Linked DNA regions of Astyanax mexicanus. The protein of the gene in region 1 interacts with the protein of each later gene in a pairwise test. Links are inferred from orthologs where the notes say so. Each region holds a gene or a part of one and is shown on either strand. Other genes may lie near its edges.

Region 1 (6,943 bases):
CTCGAACACGGGTCGGCGCCCGGTGCGACTATTTTTTGCAGCGGGAGGCGCAGAGGACAGGCCGGAAGAGAGACGGAGAGGAAGACAAAACGTGTCTGTAGTCAGGGAAGGGGGGGGTAGAGTTTAAAAAAATAAAGCATCCTTGCCTGAAGGCATGAAGAAGGGAGGAGAAGCAGGAGTAAAATAGAGCAAAGCGTTCTGCTGCCCTCTCTATAATGCACGCGTTCATCCTCCTCCAGCTCCGAAGAAGGCCTTTCTCTTTTTTTTAATTACGCACCCTTGTGCAACATGGAGCGCCATCGATTTTCATGACTTTGTTCTATTATAGTAACAAGCGTCTGAAGCCTTCTTACCCGAGTGCCGTCGGTTCGCGATGTCGACTCGCGTAGTAGCGCTGGGGGGCGGGAGGAAGGGGGGAGGGGGGGGGGGGGGTAGAGAGAAAAAAAACAGATAAGTAAGATTAAAGAAGGAGAACATGAATAATTCACACTCTCTTCCCCACCAAACTGTAATGTCATGTTTGCCGTTGTTGGTTAGACCTTGGATCCGCACTTGAATCAAATATCAGCCTTTTTTTTTCCCCTCCTAATACAACATGTTTTTATCACTATTAATGGATCTTCAAGGTGTTGTTGTGTGTTATAGGAGTCGGTTTAGGCAATTTTGCCTGATTTGACTCCAAACTGCTCTGGACTCTGAATGCTAACCACCGCGTGCTGCTGCAATGAATTATTTACTGCTGCGTGTGCCACCCTGCTTCAGGTGAATGGTGGGTTTTGGAAGCTGTGAATAGAGCAGGCAAAAAGAGTGTTTTTTATTTTTATTTTCCACAGGCCCCTCAGTACCTGCCTCGTTTTTCTCTGGTCAGACTGGCATTTTACGAATAAGAGGCTCTTCTCACATTTAATTAATGATGTGCCTACCCTTAAATAATGGAGTTAAAGGAGTTATTTATTATTAGAGGTTGAACACTCTTGCATGGGGCCTTCAGCTTGTCAGAAAGAAAGAATTCTAGCACTTACTGTATATTGGATCCAGGTATTGTGCTGTGAAAGTAATCTTTATGAAAGTAGTATGGAGTTAGTTGCATTCCTACATTAAAAGACCTTAAAAGAGGTTTTTACTTAGTATTGTAAGTATTGTTATTAGGCTCGTAACAACAGTGGACGCCTTGTTTTGGTGCAGTTTAGGAAAATTTCTTAAACTGTAATTTTTTTGTTTGTTGTAGCTGCAGAACAATTTAGTTCACTTATTAGACACAAGTCAATTATTGTCAAATGCAGTGGTCTAGCAGTCTTAAGCACTGCTACTATGATCGGGAGATTGCATGTTCGAATCCCGGTCATGCAGCAGTTGGAAAGTGTGGAGAAGGTGGCTGACTTCACATGTATCAGAGGGGGCATGTGCTAGTCATAACTAGTGATGCAGGATATACAGTTGGCTAGCAGCTAAATTAACATAAATTTAACGCTTATTTTATTTGTTTTTTTTTGTTTGTTTATCTGCCTTTGCTTATCAAATGTAACCCTTACTAAAACCCTCACCCACTTTAATCCCCTAAGACCCGTACTCTTGCATTGCATGCATTTTTTATTTCTTTTTGCTGTTTGGGCTAATTGGCTCCTGATTAATGGGAAAACAAAGAATTATCTTTTTACATGATGTAGTTTCTGAGAAAAAAAAAATATGGGTTACATAGGTTTATATTTTGATAGAACAAAATATTCATTTAAATTTCTGAACAAAATCCAGACTGCAACGTGTTAAAATCTACTGACAGTATAATGTCCTCATAAGAGGACACCAGGCTCTTGTAGAGCAAAATTTAGTGTTGTGGTCTAGACAACCCAAAATGTGATGTCCACACATGTGGACGCCAGGTCCTAGGAGGTTAATGAATGTGTATGTTTGTTAGTACATGCTTGAGAATCACCTTGATAGAAATGTGAGACATTTTCTAATGCTGATTACAGGATGGATTCAGGACAGGTATTCTGGGACAGTGTGTTAGGTCATACAGGACATGTATGTCATGGGCTGTGAATGACAAAGCCATTTTTAATTCAAGGTGTCTGCTAGAAATACTATATTTGTACCTCCATAATCCTGTTTTGCTCCCTATTTTTTTTTCAACTCATTTACACTAGTATACATCAGCTGAATACAAATGAGGAGTTTTTTAACATGTCCCCTCATTGCCTGAAGGCTGACAGATGGACACACTGTAAGCTTCGGTTCTATATAGTACTGAAACAGAGTTCTTTGGCATGTAAAAATAGTGGAACTCTTTTTTGTGTGTTAGAATATTTTAAAAATCACAAAGCACTGGAACACTGCACTTACTTTTTATATTGTACACCATAAACCAATCATCTCGAGTATAAAAAACCACCTGTCCCCCTTGTGCCACTTAAAGCAGCAGTTCTATGTGTTTTTCTTTTAAGCTAAAAGTATTAGTGCTGCTGAGTAGAAAGAGGACCAACTGTTCTAACTAATTTATTCTCTAAATCCACAAAACTTGACTGTCGCTTTTAAAGAGCTCTGACCTGTAAAGGCATCAACTCCACAAGACCTCTGAAGGAAATCTGTGGTATCCTCTGGTACCAAAGCCAAGAACGTTAGCAGCAGATCCCTTAAGTCCTTAGAGTTGGGAGGTGGGACCTTCACTGATCTTATCAGTGAGCCTTGGGAGCCCTTGACCCTACTCGCGGTTCACCAGTTGTTCTTTCCTGGAGCACTTTTTGTAGATATGCTTCACAAGAACACCTTGGCATACCCTGAGGTTTGGGAGATTATGTGAACCTCCAGTAATCTACCCATTAATGTTTGCTTATTGCCAAAGCATCTCTTTAGTATTATGCTGGAAAAGTGTTTAACACACCAGCGTTAATAACTGGCTTTATATATCATTGTATTAAATGAGTAATATAGGAAAAATATGAAAAAAAAAAAAACAGTAGAGTAAAGAAGGCTTTTCCCTGGTTAATGTTCATAACTTCTTCCCTCAACCATTTAACCAAGTCCAAGTCTACATCCCGCTGTAATATTTGTTTTTACTGCATTTCCCTTAACTCATTCACTCTAATAGAAATACTCAGCCTAAAATAGCTGTGTAATATTAATAATAACCAAACACCTGCCATAATAACCCAACCCAGATGGTTCGGATGAGTTGGAGCGAAAAGTGAACAAGCTTGTTTGTGTTTTGCCATTTAGCACAAGCTAACACTAATCATCAAGATGTATTTGCATAAAAGTGACAGAGCCCTTAAAGTATTAATCAGCTGAAATGAATGAATAAATAAATAAATACATAAATAAATAAATACAGCTTCAGGTCAGAAAAGACCACTTAAAAAATTTGAGTTTCTTTAATTTTACCCAGTGAAAAACCTATGGAATATAATCAAGAGGAAGGTGGATGACCACAATCCATCAAATCAAGCTGAACTGCTTGAATTTGTGCACCAGGAGTGGCATAAAGTTATCCAAAAGCAGTGTGTAAGACTGGTGGAGGAGAATGAATATAAACTTGTTTTCTTTGCATTATTCAAGGTCTTAAAGCTCATAGAAAAGCTTTTTTTGTTATTTCAGCCATTTCCATTTTCTGTAAATAAATGCTCTAAATGACAACATTTTATTTGGAATTTTGGAGAAATGTTGTCCGTAGTTTATATAATAAAACAACAATATTCACTTCAAACATAAATAAACAACCCTCCCACGGCGAGCATTACTCCGCCCCCAGCCCTTATGGCGCATCTCTGATTGGCTATCTCTCGCCGAAGTCCCGCCTCCGCCCGCCTCGAGCGTTCCATTCCACGCGGAGCTTCATACATACGCGCGCGCGAAAGTGGCGCTCTCGCGGATGAGGGAGAGCCGTTAGCGGAGCGGCGGTTAGACTCAGTCAGGCTCAGTGTGTGTTTGTATACAGTGTGTGTACAGGCTTCTCCCAGCTGCTAAAGTTCGCTTTAAACACCCGGAGACGCTAGCTTTTCACCGCTTACCGTCAGCGGGAAGCGGGTTAGTCTGTATTTAAGAGGATAACCTGCTTGTTTGAGCGCGTTTGGACCGGAACCGGTGGAAAAACAGACAGAAACTGCGAACTAAAGAGAGCAGGCTGCAGCTCCGAGCCTAGGAACCAAAAACAGAGAGATAAAAGGTTCATTCTGAGGTAAATTTCAGTAGTTTTAGGTGATATTTCTGTAATTCGGAGGTTTAAAACCCGGTTAAACCCGCTTCGTCTTTTTCAAACCGCAAAACAACCGTTGAAGACAAAGCCAGGCGCTCGAGCGCGGACCGCGAGCCGAGACACGCGCGCCTCACCGCCTCCGCCTCCTCCACCGTTCCCGCTCAGCCCGGCGGCGCTGCCTCAGCCTCCAGCCCAGCCATGCAGCATCCCCTCGCGGGCGGCCCGTGCGTCGCTCTGCCCCGGGTGGACGTGTGTCCGCAGCTCTCCTGTGCCTTGACGTTCATGTACTTACAGCAGGTGAGTGGATGGAAGGATGGGTGAGTGTGCAGAGAGAGAGAGAGAGAGAATGAGTGAAAACTGAACGGGAGTAGTGCTGCTACGATTAGTCGGCACAATCGACAGAATAATCAACTTCAAGATCAACAATATGTATAATATATATAACAATATATAGTCAATGTTGACTAATAATCGTCAGTGTATGTATACTGCACTTCACACTACACTACACTAGAGTTAAAAGCTGCTCAGCCACTCACCAATTAGTCGATTAGTCAGCATAATCGACTTTGTTGATTAGAAATATTTCAATCTTTACTAATAAACTGCTTTTTTATCCCATGCACTTTCTTTTTATAGAAAGTAACTAAACACTTCTAAAATGTTTGAATTCACTTTGAATGCTTCCTTCAAAGAGAATTTTACACAGTATTGTTTAAGTTGTTTTGCTATTTTTAGTAGTTTCTACCCTGATACTGTTAAAATAGGATGCAATAATTACATTATCAACTTATATACATGTTATATACATTACCTGCTGACCTCTATATTAGAGTATTATTAGTGTTTAATTGACAAGACATCATGTTAAAATTGTTTAGGATATTAAATATAGCATATTTTAAGTTCCAGTTCCATTGTGTAAATAATGTAAATAATAATTAAACATATTTATTCCATGCTCTTATTTTTGTAGAAAGTAACTAAACATGTCCAAAAATGTTTGACTTCACTTCCTTCCATTAAAGAGAATATTACACAATATTGTTTCTTAAGCTTTTGTTTTGCTTTTTTTTTTTTAATCTGTTACTGTTACAATAATTACATTATTGTACGTTTTTTTTTTCTAATTTATACACATTACCTCAAAATAGTCAGTTCCAGTTTCAATGTCTAAATACTCTTAATAATTCAAAGTATTTTGCTTTGAGTAAAGTAATGAGTAATGCATTATTATCCTGAAGTATTAGCATTTTATAATTGGCATTAAACCGTTCCCAAAATGAAAATAATGTCAGTATTCAATCACAGTTATTTCTTGGACAAAACATAATCTACAACTTTTTTTTTATAATGACAGGCCTAGTATTCAGGCTCAGACAGTGTACTGCAATTGCAATTCATTTTTTTAAAAATGAATAAAAAAAAAACTATATAAACAGTACTTTTATCTTTTCAGTAAGTTTGTTAGTGTTTACAATACTATATAAGATATGTTTTTACTTTTGTTTGCAATTCGTTTGCAAGATGATTCTAAAAATAAGTAATTTAACTTTACTATAAATGTGTCTGTCTCTAATAGTGTATTTAAATTGCTGTTGAAAGCAACTGTTTATAGTTTTACTGTACACTTTATTTTTTTGTGATTCAGAGCTGAGGATTGATTTAATAGCCCATTATATAAAATGGTCAAAAACTACATAAACAGTAAGTTGCCTTTTTGTAAATGTAGTTTCAGTGTAGTTAGTGTATACACTATTATGTTAAACAAATCAATCTAAACATTATTAAAATTGTAAGACATTATAGAGTGAAACTATATTGACATTTTTAATGACCAATTATGATTAAGTCAAATGCATGAACACCTAATTAAACAAAGCAGTGTAAAGTTGGTGAGACATGCTTCAGTGTGAACGATGCTTAAATTCACCATCATCATTAATGCAACCTAAAACATCACCTGATTCCTCTGATGTTGTGGTATTATGTTACCAGTGTTGTGATACTAGTAAGTTACTAACATCACTTAACACTTAATACAAGACACCTTTATTTGTGGTTTAATGTGGTTTTACATGTATATATTTATATATAATACATGTGAAACTCCTGTTTTTGTAGTATGATTGCATAGTGTAACTGTAGTTTTAACATTGTAGTTTTTAAAGTGTGTCATCATTTTATGTTGGACTGTCCAATGGAAATGCCCCAAAATGGAATTAAATATTTTGACATTGACTTCTATTGGAAGTTTAGAAGGTTGATGTAATGTAAATGCTAAGAGTCTGCCGGATTTATACACTGATCAGCTGCATAATATTAGCACCACCATTTAAGGCAGAGTCCCATGATATCTGGCGCCAAGACATACATTAGCAGCAGATGCTTACAGATAAGTCATGTAAGTTTTGGAGTGAGGCCTCCATGGGACACATCAGTGAGTCTTAGGTGTCCATAACCCTGTTGTCAGCTTACTGGTTGTCCATTCTTGGACAACTTCTAGTCGATTGAGACTAAAGGGCAGCACAATATTGGAAGATCTTTACATTGTGATATTTTGTTGTTCTGCAATATATATTGCAATATTAAAAATCTGCAATCTGTGTATCAAAGTGTATCTCATTTAAAATGAGAATGATGTGATTTTCATCTGTTTCAAACTGCAAAAAAAGTAAAAAACAGATATAGTTTAAAAGTAATTTGACAGTGCACAAAACATTGCATATTCTTGTGCATGTGTACATTGAG
Region 2 (7,580 bases), on another chromosome or scaffold:
ATTGTTACTGTTGTGATTCATTGCTCTCATCAATTGCACTCATCACTGACCTTGCGTGTAAAGCCACTGTTGTGCCGAATTCTGCACCCCCGTCAGGAAAAGCACCACCTCTCGAGAGCGCACACCCACATCTTCTGGGCTTTAACTTTGTTGGAAATACCCAAGATACTGTTCTAAGCTATGCTGACTCGTAAAAAAATAAGGAAAGAGGCACCCCCGCCATGAAAAGCACCCTCTCTCGGCATCGCGTATGCACCGTTTTATTGAAAATAATTGCTTGAAGATAATTGCTTTAGCTAACTTTACTTAGAAACGCGCTTCGGAGAGGGAGTGATTTTCATAGCGGGGGGTGTGCTTTCTAAATAAAATTTATTTTAAAACAATTAGATTTTTTTTTAAATGAAAATACAAATACCCTTTTGACTTTTTTTCACATGTGCAAAAATATCATGAAAAAAATTCTAAATAAAATGCAGTTACTTAATTTGAAATTTAACCCTAAATGTTTGTTTTTTACACCATTTTATCCCATTAATTAATTAACTAACTAACTAACTTACATCTTACAATCGCCTAAAAGTTGATGACTGAACAGCTCCTTCCTACCTGCACTCACTCCTGAAGGCTTACGCTACCTCCCGGCCGCTGCGCTCCTCCAATGAACGTCGCCTCGCTTTACCAAACAAACTTTCACACAAAGCAATCCAGACTGTTCTCATACAGAGTTCCCCAAATGGTGGAACAAACTACCTTCCACTACCAGATCAGGAGAATCTCTCACTATCTTTAATAAACTCCTGAAGACAGAGCTCTTCAAAGAGCACTTACTCCCCTAACACCTCTAACTAACTACCTTCTACTACCAGATCAGGAGAATCTCTCGCTATCTTTAATAAACTCCTGAAGACTGAGCTCTTCAAAGAGCACTTACTCTCTTAACACCTCTAACACACTAACTACTTCTAACCTCATTTCCTTCTTCCCCTCCTTCACTCCTCTATCCCATTATTTACCTTTGACCTTCTTTAGGCCCTATTTAAAGATGTTTTTTACCTTTAACTTCTATTACTCTATGTACATCATTATTATAAGTCGCTTTGGACAAAAGCGTCTGCCAAATGTAATGTAAATACTTGCTTGCTTACTTATCCATTTATTCATCTCTATGTCCAATACAATGAGGCGTATCAGTGGGTCATAAATAAAAATATGTTTGTATGCAAGAATATGTAAAGAAGTATATTTGGCTGATTCATACATTATTGTTAGAAATTTGCCTTTTGCCGTTAGACCACTTCTGTAAGGTGATGAGGCATGAACTCTCTGGTTCTGGAGACTTTCTCCTTCCCTGCATGTTTTGGTGCTCCCTTAGTCTGAAACATCTGATTCAAAATATTAGCTTGCTATCAAAAGTCAAAATCTAAATGTAGGTTTGCTATATCCAAAGGGACACCTGAACTTCCAAATATTACATTTTTTGCTCCTAAAAGATGTAATTATTCACTCAAGCACAGGTAGTATGAGACAAAAATTCAATTAAATGAAAAAAGTTGACATTTAATTTTCATTAACACACTTGTATTTCATGGTGAAATCCAAAATTAAAAGCTGAATAGAAAAAGGAACACTTCACTTTCGCTTTATAAGCACATAATAAGTGTCAAAATGAAAATGCAATATGCACTTATCTTTTTCTTTTCAACTGTGATGAAAAATAAAGGCAAACCGTCAGGTTAGGATTCAGCTTCAAGTGGCAAAAAAAGAAATAAACTTGGAAAGCGCCACCTTGTGCTGATTTAAGCTGGGCATATGTAAATATATGTTAATTAGCAGTGGGCAGTGCCTCCTGATGCAGCATTTCATATATGGGAGTTCATGGAGTATGTGTTATTAGGAACTGCTAGCTAGTGAAATCATGATCTCTGTGGATTTGTTGTGAAATGACTGTATACTGATAGGGGATGGAGGTCTAAAACGCTTAATGTAAAAAGCCTTAACATGTTTTCTTATCACTGAAACCTCTCATAAGGAAAAAGTTTAACGTGGCTTAATATACTAAAACAACAAGTAAATAAGCAATATGTGGTGCTTTTCACTTTCATTTTTATTTTGACATTTATTATGCTACTCATAAAAAAAAACAAGCCAAAGTAAAGTTTGAGGTTTTTCTATTAACCTTTTCATTTTGGATTTGACCATGAAATACCAATATGTTCATTAATGTTAATGAAAATAAAATGTCACTAACTTTTTTATTTAATCCTCCACAGCAAAGTGTTGCCTCAGGTAACAAGCCAAACTTTTGTTTATTACACCATATCAATTACACCACCGCTTTGCCTTATTTAAATTTTTTTTAAACAATGTTGCAATACATATCTACGTCCAATACAATGAGACGTACAGGTGGGCCAAACAAAAAAAATATGTATGCAATAATTTTTTTCATTCTTGTTGTAAACTTACTTAAACAGTGTTTTTGTTGGGCAACGTTATGCAAATAGACCACTTTTATTAAATTAATCATGATAAAGCAGTGGTTCACATTTTCTCACGAAAAATGCCACCGTACATCACACAAATGCTTATTAAAAATGATACAACTTATCAGACTCGCTCCAGTGACTGGATCAAGTGGGAAAATCTGCTTTTAGCTACAGTGCAGCACCAGCGAGCTGGAATTCACTACGGGAAACACTAAAGCTTAGCTTAATGGTGTCACAAAATAATAAACTCCTATTCTGAAACCACCTTCATTTTTGTTACCTTTGATTTTCTTACCTATGATTGATAAATTCCTACTAAATTCTTATTTTTATTTTATTTGTTTTATATCTTATTTCAAAATATCTTGATTGATTATATGATTAAAAAATACAATTCATGACATAGAGGGTTACATTTTATTTTTAGCACAGACTACCCGTGCTTGAGTGAATAATTAAATTGCAAATAAGTTTTATTTAATGTTATTTTTAATTTTCACACGTTTGGACAAATGAATGTTAAAAAGAGCATTTGCATTTTATTCTTTTCAATTCTGTTTTATTTTTGGCTGGATCAATCTCCCATCGGATTGACAGTTCTGACAGTGTCAGTGAATCAGTGTCAGCGAATTGGTTTCATTAAATCAGTATCAGTGAAACGGTGTCAGTGAAACGGTGTCAGTGAGTCGGTGTCAGTGAGTCGGTGTAAGTGAAACGGTGTCAGTGAGTCGGTGTCAGTGAAACGGTGTCAGTGAGTCGGTGTCAGCGAATTGGTGTCATTAAATCGGTATCAGTGAAACGGTGTCAGTGAGTCGGTGTCAGTGAAACGGTGTCAGTGAGTCGGTGTCAGTGAAACGGTGTCAGTGAAACGGTGTCAGTGAAATGGTGTCAGTGAATCGTGTCAGCGAATTGGTGTCATTAAATCGGTATCAGTGAAACGGTGTCAGTGAATCAGTATCAGTGAATCGGTATCAGTGAAACGATGTCAGTGAGTCGGTGTCAGTGAAACGGTGTCAGTGAGTCGGTATCAGTGAGTCAGTGTCAGTGAAACGGTGTCAGCGAATTGGTGTCATTAAATCGGTATCAGTGAAACGGTGTCAGTGAATCAGTATCAGTGAATCGGTATCAGTGAAACATGTCAGTGAGTCAGTGTCAGTGAAACGGTGTCAGTGAGTCGGTGTCAGTAAATCGTATCAGTGAGTCTGTGTCAGTAAGTCGCTGTCAGTGAATCGGTATCACTGAATCGGTATCAGTGAAACGGTGTCAGTGAGTCGGTGTCAGTAAGTCGGTATCACTGAATCGGTATCAGTGAAACGGTGTCAGTGAGTCGGTGTCAGTTAGTCGGTGTCAGTGAATCGGTATCAGTGAATCGGTATCAGTGAAACGGTGTCAGTGAGTCGGTGTCAGTAAGTCTGTGTCAGTGAATCGGTGTCAGTGAGTCGGTGTCAGTGAGTCGGTGTCAGTGAATTGGTGTCAGAGAGTCGGTGTCAGTGAAACGGTGTCAGTGAGTCGGTGTCAGTAAGTCGGTGTCAGTGAATCGGTGTCAGTGAATCGGTGTCAGCGAGTCAGTGTCCCTGAATCAGTGTGAGTAAATCGGTGTCAGTGAATCGGTGTCAGTAAAAAAGGTGTTAGTGAATAGGTGTCAGTGAGTCGGTGTCAGTGAATCAGAGAAAGAGATTCGGTGTCAGTGATTGAGTGTCAGTGAATCGGTGTCAGTGAATGAGTATCAGTGAATCGGTGTCAATGAATCGGTGTCAGTGCTGTTCAGGGTCTCTCAGAAGCCGGCTGAGCTCACGTGGCTGCCTCAGCACTACTCTGCTCCGCTCCCACGGTGATCTGTTAACTTCCTGAAAATAGTGCGCCACGTTTGGTCGCACATCTATCAAAACTCGGAAAAGACAACAAAATCCCGCAAACCTGAGCACGACCTGCGGCTCAGGGGAGGGAACTGCGCTTATTTTTTAAGTGTTTCTTCAGTGTCAATCTGAATTTTAAGAGTAGATAACTGCACGGCTGGTGTGTGTGTGTGTGTGTGTGTGTATGTGTGTATCCCTCCGCTACATTTTGTGTCTTTTCAGACTGTTTAGGTCTTTGAGAGCAGCGGGGCGCCTCAGTGTCAGCCGATACTACAGCTCAGAGATACAGACTCAGAGGGGTTTACTAGCTAAGCTACATTAATTCAGAGCGCATACAGCTGGAGAAAATCAACAGCCTGCAGCAGAAGCTCTCCTTCAGACAGTGTTTCTGTTATAAGGAGGAAAAGACACGCTAGCTAAGCTAAGCTCGCTGATTTAGCTCTGGAGTAGAGGCTGTAGCTGAAGGACTCAGTGCGGCTAGGCTAGGCTAGTTAGCTAGTAGGCTAACATTAGCTGTCATTCGTTAGCTAAGCTAGTTAGCCGTTAGCTCCTCTGTCAATAAGTCAGGCAGGATTTCAGCGTGTCGTGCTCTGCTGTTGTCGGCAGCGCGTAGGACAGATTTCCCTCCAAACACTTAAAGCTAGAAAACTCCGCTTAAAGCTGTCGTTTATGGGATAACCATGTCAATGAAGCAGGCCGGTGGTAATCGCAAACCCGGCGGGATCAACAGCGGGGCTGCTGCGGCCTCCGGAGCTGCGGGCTTCGGACGGCAGAGTTTGGGAAGGTGGGTGACAGCCTGCGTTTCTGTGTGACAGTTCTGAATACATGAACACCGCGACCCTCACACACACTTACAGCCCTCAGCGTGGTGTTAAAACACTGCAGCCCGCGGTACTCCGCTGTTCAGCGGCCGAGAAAGCGCTGTTAGCGGGCTAGCTTAGCTGCTGGTAGTGGGGTTATAGGCCGGAGTGAGCCAGGCACGGGCAGGACAGAGAGGTGTTTATTAGGCCGGGTTTAGACAGCGGGACGGGGGTTCACACACTCGCCTACTAAAATGTGCTGCACCCACTGTAGTTAGCTGTACACATCCATCCAATTAACTAACTAACTAACTAGCCACTGAAATAATCTGCCACCTAATTATTATTCATTATTAATTCAACTGCATAGCCGTTATTGAGATTTCATTTCAATATTTGTAGATACGGTCTGTGTTTTGTTTTCATTCTCCTTCACATAACTTCTGTTAAATCTACTATTACCTCTAGATAATGATTTGGTATCTCACAAACTGATTTAGAACCTTAACAAAATGGTTTAGTATCTTTAAGTAATTATTTAGTATCTCAAAATAATGATTTAGTATCTCCTAGTAATTATTTAGTATCACAAATAATGATTTAGTTGTTTTTTAATTAGATCATCTGAAAAACGACTTAGTCTGTTAAAATAATTATTTGGTATCTCATAATGAAAAAGCTTCTCGCAAAAACAACATAGTGTCTCAATAAGATCGCATAACAGAAATATGAATTAGTATCTCAAAAATATGAGAGCATCTAAAAACGACTTAGTGTCTCATAATAATGAGGAAGAATCTAAAATAATGATTTAGTATATCAAATAAGGTTTTTATAAACATAAAAAAATGATGTATCTCAAAGTAATGAGACTCGATCACATTATAATTTGAATTACATTTTGTAGTAATAAATTGTACTTATAGATGTTTTGTAGATATCGGCAATTGAAATATTTACTAGTAAAAATGTAGTAATGGATAAGAGGGAGTGAGATTACATGTAAATCAAGTGTAGTATATGACTAGTCAAAATAAAGTAAATGTCATTTTGGTAACATGACTAAACCTTTGAGTTTGCGTTTGAATTTGGTGTGATTTTAAGCTAAAATGGCTTGCTGTAGTTTATTGTCTGGTACAGTGTAGATGTTGCTTGTTCTGTGGCTGGGTAATTTGTACAGGGTTCTGCTTTGCTGCAGGTTCGGCAGGCATGGATTTTAAGTTTGATGAAAAAAAGTGTCAAGTCAGCGCAGTGTGTCTGTGAGCTAATGGCTTTTCTTGCCACATTCCATGTGAACAAGCTTCATGTCAGTAGGTGCAGCTGGTAAATACAGTTGTCATTTTTGTAATTGATTTAAATCCTTTTGTTTTCTTTTCTGCTTTATGAAAATTTATTATGTGTCCCTCAACATCTATTTTTGATGAGGATAACACTGATTGATTTGTTTTTAAACTTAGGAGACCTATCAGGATGTAAATCTTGCCTAATAAGCACATGAGAAGACCAATCAGGATGCTCTCACAGTCAGGCTCATCTGTCATTTATTTGATTGCTCCAAGAGTGCTCCAAGATTTGTGAACGTCATAGATCTAATACAAGTATGCATATGCTAGTCCCAGGATATGTGGGGTGCCTGTTAGTATAATATTAGTTAATAACATAAGTAAACTAATACAGATCAGAAGGTATCTGACTATGTTATGATTTACTAAACCATTGTGTTGTTTTGGCCTAGCAATTTGTGTGTGTGTGTATGATGAGAACCTTGCAGCACCTTCAGGATTCACAGTTAACCAGAATGATATATAACGTAACCTTTTATTAAAGTTTTTTTTGGTTAAAATCTTCATGTAATGGGTTAAAGTCCTCTCTATATAATAAGTGACACTTCACTGTGGGGCACTGTGTATATGGCTACATAACCCTTAACTCATTCCTTATTAAGGAATGAAGGGTGCAGAATGCAACTTTCAGCATTTTCTGTGACTCCTCTGCTGAAATACCTATCAAGTGCTTTTGAGGTAACACTGACATGAAAAAGTTTACTTGTGTCTCTGTGTAAAGGTTTAAAAATACTAATTTGTGCCTAATTTATTAATTTGGGAATTAGTAATGTAAAAATCTCCCTTTATCGAAGTGTTAAGAGAAGTGCTAATAATTTACCATAAGTACCATAAGTTACCATGTAGTTTAAAAATGATTCTTGTCACAGTAATATGGTAATTTAAATATTTAATTTCTAAATCATAAATTTAAATGTTCATTTGTTTGAAGGTGGTAACTGAGTAAGACAGTTGCACTGTTGGTGGTATTCAGAAACTCAGAAATCTGCAGTGGTTTATGTGTTTTTTAAGATGATGAAAATTATTTGCAATGCTTCTACAGCATAATTTGTAGAAGACCATAATTAAGACTGTGCCAAAGACCCATGTACATTA

The links.
Region 2: the proteins of rbfox1 (region 1) and atxn2 interact in binary tests that used the Homo sapiens proteins (3 or more experiments, as listed by UniProt). The link is inferred for Astyanax mexicanus from reciprocal best matches to the Homo sapiens genes RBFOX1 and ATXN2.

Annotation. Positions count from the first base shown.
Region 1 is NC_064426.1:5,886,167-5,893,109, reverse strand, and holds the start of rbfox1 (RNA binding protein fox-1 homolog 1), read left to right. Parts: upstream 1-3,834; 5' UTR 3,835-4,390; coding exon 4,391-4,489; intron 4,490-6,943. UniProt on the Homo sapiens protein: RNA-binding protein that regulates alternative splicing events by binding to 5'-UGCAUGU-3' elements. Regulates alternative splicing of tissue-specific exons and of differentially spliced exons during erythropoiesis.
Region 2 is NC_064429.1:14,079,870-14,087,449, forward strand, and holds the start of atxn2 (ataxin-2), read left to right. Parts: upstream 1-4,500; 5' UTR 4,501-5,022; coding exon 5,023-5,126; intron 5,127-7,580. UniProt on the Homo sapiens protein: Involved in EGFR trafficking, acting as negative regulator of endocytic EGFR internalization at the plasma membrane.